Arabidopsis thaliana: one gene and its partner. Each later gene encodes a partner of the first gene's protein in a complex. Each region holds a gene or a part of one and is shown on either strand. Other genes may lie near its edges.

Region 1 (3,757 bases):
GTTCGTAAATGCGTAATTATTTTTAATCTAACAGTTCGTTCTGTCACATGGATCTTTCAGACCAGTACAGTCGTCCTTTGCAAAGATTTATCAACTTTCTAACAAAAAGAGAAGCTACAGAAAGTAGAGAAAATTTTGTACTTTTGAAGTAAAGAAAAAAAAAAGAAGTAGACAAAATTGTGTAGGATTCTTCACGGTTTTTGCATTCTTCTTTATTACCAAGTCTTCAATATTTTCATTTCAATAAAACTTCCCCTTTCTTACAAAGAACTCTTATTTTCCATTTTTCTTCACATTTTTCCTTGCAAGATCACTCATTTTAATTTATGTAAATGATAGAATTTGAAGATCCATACTTCAGCAATCTGTTTTTCTTGGCATGTTGAGTTTTTATCAACAACACCAATTATTATTTTATTTTCTCTGGTTCAAGAAATTGTCTAAGCTCCATTCAAACATTCTGTACTTATATATAAAGTTTACATCATCACATATTGTGCATCAAATAGCAAAGGTTTTGGCAACATACATATAATATGAATCGTGCTTGTACACACACACACACTCATGTATATATATGTATTTATTGTTTACCCTTGAACAACATTTTTAGGTAAGGGGGTCTTCTATCATCAGGAAAACATAAGGTAGATGAGGTAACATCTTTAGATTCGTTCGAAGTAGAACTCCTATGCATTTGATCAAATTGTTTTCTAATTAAGTAATGCAACATTTAAACCATGTGCAGCACAAACGATGGCTTATTTAGGTGGATTTGCAAATCTTTTCACTCTTTAGGGCATATTCCAATCAACTACTGCTTGAAATTTGACTGATCAATGTGATGCAAAATTCACGGCATGGCTTGTTTTAGCAGCTAGTTTCGACAACCTAATCACCCGAAAATAACAAACAATCGGAAATGCAGCGCGATAAGTAGATATATGTCTGTGATCACCCAATTAGCCACAAAATAGTGTACTATGTTTGTGATGTTACCCTTTTACTCTTCAATTTTAAATACATATCTCGTTATAGTATTTTTTTTTTTTTTTTTTTTTTTTTTTTTGGGTAAAACTCGTTATAGTATTTCGTTAGAGTATTAACATTTGTGTAAACATAATTGTTGTCATTAATCGTGGGTCCAAATCATGACACATCACAAAGTTTCTTGGACTTGTTATACATGTTCCTTAAAATGATTAGTTATATATTATCTTAATAATCCTGATCTTTAAATCGAACAAATTTAGATTTAGCTTCTTTTTTTTTTGTTAAAATTTAGATTTAGCTTTACAAGATGTACCTTTGATTATGATAGAGGAAAATAACAGTATCCCACCCAAATACACGGTTATAATGAGATTTTCATGTATGTAGAAAAATCATCAAATTGTAAGAAAACAATTGGAAAAATTGAGTGTGTTGTTTTGAGTAGCAAAATATGAAGAATCCATCAAACCAAGAAATTAGCAAAGATGTAGAAAGGAAGATTTGGTCGATAGATTCACGGACGTATTAGAAATGACCACTTTCCGATACAATCGTCCCAACTAGGAAAAGAGTCAAAGCTTTTCGAAAGAAATTAAAAATTCCTCTATGAAAAATAAGTCAAGAAATTGTTTTAAAAATATTTAAGGGCCAAGTAGAAAAGGTCACATCTTGCCTTACCAAAAAAAGACAGTTCATTGAAATTTTATCGGGACAAGTTTACTATTTTTAATTAATGCGTATCTACTTCAAAACATGCGTAGCATTAACGGCGATTCCACGTCAATTTCATGGCGTCCACAATTTTTGTATAAGGATAAGAGAGTTACTTTTATATTTTTAAAATCTATTCTGAAAACTTTAAGAACTTATTTACATGAATACATGGTCAGAAATGTGCGAGACCATTGTTTAACTGGTTAAAAAAAGGATTTATTTACATAGAAATGGATTTAAATCACCTGTTACACTTTTATTGAAATCATTCTCTTATGATCATTGCATCGTAACTCGAGATATTTATTTTTCATGCTTTAGTTTGTTAATTATATCTAGTTTTATCATGTTCTATAACCCTTTTTTAGGCACTCAACATAAATAGCAAACCCCGATTTAGTTCAATTCGCGAATCAATTTCGTCTTGGTTATTCTTTTGGCTTTGGTCGTATTTAATTATGCTAGCTGCCAGATCTTAGGCACATCACTTTGTTTAGATAAGATTAGAACATTTCTTCACAGTTCACTTAGTCGTCACATATCAAACAAAGTAGACAACATTATAAATAAAAAAATTCCACAAATAATTTCTGCTTATATATATAGATATGTAACCAAATCACAAAATTCCACATAATTAGTCTCACATATACTTGTAACTAGTCAGACAAAGACAATGGAAGAATCAAACCGTAGTAGTACTGTCTTGTTCGACAAATACAACATCGGAAGACTTCTCGGAACCGGTAACTTCGCCAAAGTGTATCACGGAACAGAGATCTCCACCGGCGATGACGTGGCAATCAAAGTCATCAAAAAAGACCACGTTTTCAAACGTCGTGGCATGATGGAGCAAATCGAACGAGAGATCGCCGTCATGCGTCTCCTCCGTCATCCAAACGTGGTCGAGCTCCGCGAAGTAATGGCTACAAAGAAGAAGATTTTCTTCGTCATGGAGTACGTCAACGGCGGAGAGCTTTTCGAAATGATCGATAGAGATGGGAAGCTCCCGGAGGATCTAGCCAGAAAGTATTTCCAACAATTGATATCCGCGGTGGATTTTTGCCACAGCCGCGGTGTTTTCCACCGCGATATTAAACCCGAGAATCTGTTGCTTGACGGAGAAGGTGATCTTAAGGTAACGGATTTCGGACTTTCCGCATTGATGATGCCAGAAGGGCTAGGTGGCAGGCGTGGTAGCAGCGATGATCTTTTACATACGCGGTGCGGGACACCGGCTTACGTGGCGCCGGAGGTTTTACGGAATAAAGGATACGACGGAGCTATGGCTGATATTTGGTCGTGCGGGATTGTTTTGTATGCACTCCTTGCTGGCTTCTTGCCGTTTATCGACGAAAACGTCATGACATTGTACACGTAAGTATTTCTTGACCAGGTTTTGGCCCAAACCGTATTTGTTTTTGTTATTTATTTGACGAATAGTGAGATACAAAAAAATATTGAACTAAAAGCCAAAGTAGTCCATTTTGAGTTGGGTTTCTAGATGCATCTCAATTTTACATCACATACTTATATATGTTAAAAAGAAATAATAATCATTTTTGGTTAAATAAAATATTATTTGAAAGAGACAGTTTAACTTGTACCAATAGATACAAAACTTGGATATAAGATATACTATTTGAAAGTTTACACACACAAAAAGAAAAGATATATAGTATTTGAATTATTTGTTCACGTAATTCAAATTTTAATAATTACTCAAAATTATACAATATTTTCCAAGATATTGAAACTATTATCAATTTGTGAATATTCGGGTGGTATTTTAGGTACATTAATCTGATATCAAATTCGATAAATGTTGGTCGATCGTATATTTCATTATAGTTCTATATTATCAAAATTTCACGTCCCGTATTTTACTAGATAATTTATAAAACTCCCGCCAATAATAACGGTCTCAAATAGTGCTCTTCTTACAAATTCAAATATTAGTATTGTTGAATGTGAATGTGAATTGATCAAATTCTCATTGTTGTTTCTTGTTTGATTGAACCTTTCGAAATAAACAGGAAGATCTTCAAGG
Region 2 (3,757 bases), on another chromosome or scaffold:
TTCTCTTCATCCGTAAGAATGAAGATTTAGACAAACTTAAGGATCTGTTCGATGAGACTACGTTATATGACAAACAATGGCAAGCTGCATGGAAAGAGCCAGATTCATCAACAGTTTCTTCAAAGAAGTGAACAAGTTCTTACAATCTTTCATTTTCCTTTTTTTGTTATGCAATAATCTGTGAATCAGTGAAAGTTTATCTCTACTGAACTACTGATCTTCAGATTTTGTAATCTTTCTGCTTTAAAAATCTCTATGAAGTAGTCTCAAAGATAATGTATCGAAGGTCTTTGACTTGTAAAGCAGACCTATTTCGTTTTGACGCTTGATAATTTAATCAATAAGAGATTTTATTTTTTTTAATATGCTTTCTACTGTTAATACATCATCAAATAGTAGCGTTTCCAGATGGATGTTTGTGAAAAGTCATCAAGTAAGTCATATTTGTGAATTAATCAAAACCGCACTTCATCAACCAACCAACCAACCTCCAAAGAATTTGGGCTTCAGTACTAACGTCCTTTAAGGGTGTAACACATTACTGCTCTGCTCTTATTGCCGCAACTAATTTGACTCAATTTTAAGTACAAAATGGACCATTAAACTGTTGTCACTTGTCAGGACCACCGGCCCAAAATTAGTAGGGACCTTAGGACAGTTTGATATTAGTCTTTTAGTAAAAAAAAAGTTTTTTTTGTTTATCTATAAGAAAATACAATATTTTTTTAATAGATCTTAATTTTCTAAAATATCAACAGTCTATGTTTATTTTTGTGTCTGATTTAAAAAAAATTAGTTAGTTATCAAAACTTAAAACAAAAATATTAGGTCCAGGACTTTGGCATCTCCCACTTTCTTGAAAAACATGGATACTGTATGGACCTTCTTGTTTACTATTGTCATAATCTTTTTTCTCATAATCTTTTTACTATACTCATAATCTCTCCTCCTCATAATACATCTCCCACTTTCTTAACACCTCATAAGTCTTCTCATAATCTTTTTACTATCATAAAAGTTTCTGCTTGTATTGGAATGAAAGAATTTGACCATTTAATTTGGAATTCTAAACCCAATATAAAATTATAAACCACTCTTACTAGAGCCAGGATCCCAGTTTCAAATTTAATATACGTAACATGCATGATTTGGCCATGTCTTATGGATATGCTAATCCATTTCTTTTTTTTAGGCGAACATTATATAGTTTACATTATTGGATTGTTGGATGGCGTACGTACTTAATTAGTTTCAAAATTTGATAATATACATGATTAGATCATGTCTTATGGTTTATATAAAAGTAATTATGTTAATCCATAATTCTTATTTAGACCGCCTTTATACTATTGGATTTTTGTTTGTCCTACGTGATTGATTAGACTACTAAAATGTGACCAGAATTATTATAATTCTTCGTTTATCCCAAAAGGTATATGACCCATATTGAAATTATTATCAAACACACTCTACATGAATCTTGAATATATAGATAAATACAGTAATTAGTCCCCTTGCTAGTTGGGTTATCATATTAATATTTATTTATTGCAAGATCTTGAAGACTATGAGATCTTGACATCTGTATGGATTATGAAAATGAAAGATCCAATTTGAAAATTATATCTTATACAAATAAATATCATTCTTAGTATCTTTTGAGTATGTTAAATCTTGACTCTACAAGTACTAGTTACCTCTCTACACTTTTTTTTTCTTACAGTTATAAACTTACATAAAAACAAAATTCGAGTCTAAATATTTTTCTTTTAATAAAAAAACAAAAACAAAACAAAATCATTGCAGAATTGTAAGAAAACTTGTAAAAATGATTAACTTTCTTAACCAATAAAAAAGGAAAGTTGAAAGTTGAAATTTCGAAACTAAAATGTCAAACAACAATAATGGCTTTGTTTTCTTCCCACACTGTAATAAAAATAAAATAAAAATGGGGTTGGTAGAAAAAAAGAGGTAAAAATGACAAGGATGTGTTTCACACGCGTTCAGACCCTCACACGTGCGACGATCATGTTATAAACAAACTCTCTCATAATTTCCCCAATCGGAGGCCTCTGACGAACAAAAAAAGCCCAGCAAAGTCTGAAGTTAATCTCAGCCGTCCGATCAATTCATCTACCATCGTGGTCAGAGATCTTCTTCTTCGTCTCTCTCTCGTTTCTCAAAAATCAAAATCCCTTCCTCTCTCTCTCTCACCGAGCCGGCGAGCCCGTTCTCTCGGTGGTAAGTGCTCAATTTTTCGATTTCACCATTCAGTTTCTGGGTTCGGAGATTCTCGAGCCGCTCCTACATTACCTGTTTAATTTCCGATTTAATATTCAAAATTTTGTTAATCTGAATTCGATTGCCACATAGCTGCTGCTTATTTTTTCTAGGGTTTATACTTATTCAATTATCGTGTTCGTCTTTTAATTCAATTTTTGTTGGGTTTTGTTTTTGATTGAATCATTGTAGTTTTTAAAGATGCTTATGATGATGATGGGGAGTGAGTAATATCAGAAATCAAGCTTTTTCACAATCTCAGAAATTGTAGTAGAGTTTGGCGATTTTATCAACCTCCGGAACAAGCTTCTTCTTCTTCGTTTTACTCTTGTCATCCGTAAATGGGTTGTTTCCATTCCACGGCTGCCAGAGAATTTCCCGATCACGAAAACCCTGTGAAGCTTGCTTCTGAGACTGCTTGTAAGTTTACTTGCACTATACGTTTCGTTTTCTCTTCTTTGCTTTATTCTCAAAGAGCATGAGCATAAAGATCTCTCTTTTATCAATTGTTAACTGATATGAGAATCTGTTTTCGCCATTTATTGAATCCGAAAAATGGTTCTTTCATTCATAATCTATTTGATCTACAACTTTGTTAAATGATGCTTGTTGTTACTTAAGTCATCACATAAACCTATTTCAATAGTTTCTTGGATCATTAGTGTAGTTTACTTCTACTTTCAAATGGAATCTTAATCAGAGAAAGTTTTCAAGAACCATCACTTTCGATTTTTGTTTTGGTGATATACATGATGTTGATGAGAAATCTCGCAGTGTGGCTAATTATTTGTTTGTTTTTCTAGTTAGTGTTAGTGAAGTTGAAGCATTGTATGAATTGTTCAAGAGCATAAGCAGCTCGGTTGTTGACGATGGCTTGATAAACAAGGTAATGATAAATCTCATAGCCCTTTGATTATTTCGCACCTCATGGGAGAATCTTGAATGCGTGATGTACAGTGACATAATAATATTCATTGCACCATTATCCATATTCCGTATTATTTGTCAACTTTCTTGACTTTCACAAATTTATTATTGAATCTCCATGCTGAGCTGTGGGCTCCTTATTGCTCACCAAGTCTCTGTGTTGATGATAGTTGACTTGAATTTTAATTCCATTTTTTATATTGGTTTGCTTATAAAAATTGATGTTTTCTTGGCCCACTCTTGGATATTGTTACTTATTTTCTCGACCAACTTGTTATGCAGGAAGAGTTTCAACTTGCTTTGTTCAAGAACAGAAAGAAAGAAAATTTGTTTGCCAATAGGGTAAATTCTAAGTTTCTTTGGCCTTAGTAACTTTGTAGTTAGTCGTAACGATTAGTTCTATTATAAGTAGTTAATGGTAATGCTCTTTTTTCCAGATATTTGATTTATTTGATGTTAAACGAAAAGGCGTAATTGATTTTGGAGACTTTGTGAGATCACTCAATGTTTTCCATCCTAATGCTTCCCTAGAGGAGAAAACAGACTGTAA

What was found. The genes of interacting proteins can lie anywhere in the genome.
Region 2: CIPK16 (region 1) and CBL9 share a complex: the UniProt entries of both Arabidopsis thaliana proteins name them as parts of the K(+)-channel calcium-sensing kinase/phosphatase complex.

Annotation. Positions count from the first base shown.
Region 1 is NC_003071.7:10,671,237-10,674,993, reverse strand, and holds the start of CIPK16 (CBL-interacting protein kinase 16), read left to right. Parts: upstream 1-2,101; 5' UTR 2,102-2,383; coding exon 2,384-3,084; intron 3,085-3,743; coding exon 3,744-3,757. UniProt on the Arabidopsis thaliana protein: CIPK serine-threonine protein kinases interact with CBL proteins. Binding of a CBL protein to the regulatory NAF domain of CIPK protein lead to the activation of the kinase in a calcium-dependent manner.
Region 2 is NC_003076.8:19,130,592-19,134,348, reverse strand, and holds the start of CBL9 (calcineurin B-like protein 9), read left to right. Parts: upstream 1-2,044; 5' UTR 2,045-2,241; intron 2,242-2,472; 5' UTR 2,473-2,621; coding exon 2,622-2,700; intron 2,701-3,083; coding exon 3,084-3,166; intron 3,167-3,489; coding exon 3,490-3,549; intron 3,550-3,644; coding exon 3,645-3,753; intron 3,754-3,757. Other genes in the region: LIL3:2 (Chlorophyll A-B binding family protein), read left to right, coding at 1-131. UniProt on the Arabidopsis thaliana protein: Acts as a calcium sensor involved in abscisic acid (ABA) signaling and stress-induced ABA biosynthesis pathways. Contributes to the regulation of early stress-related CBF/DREB transcription factors.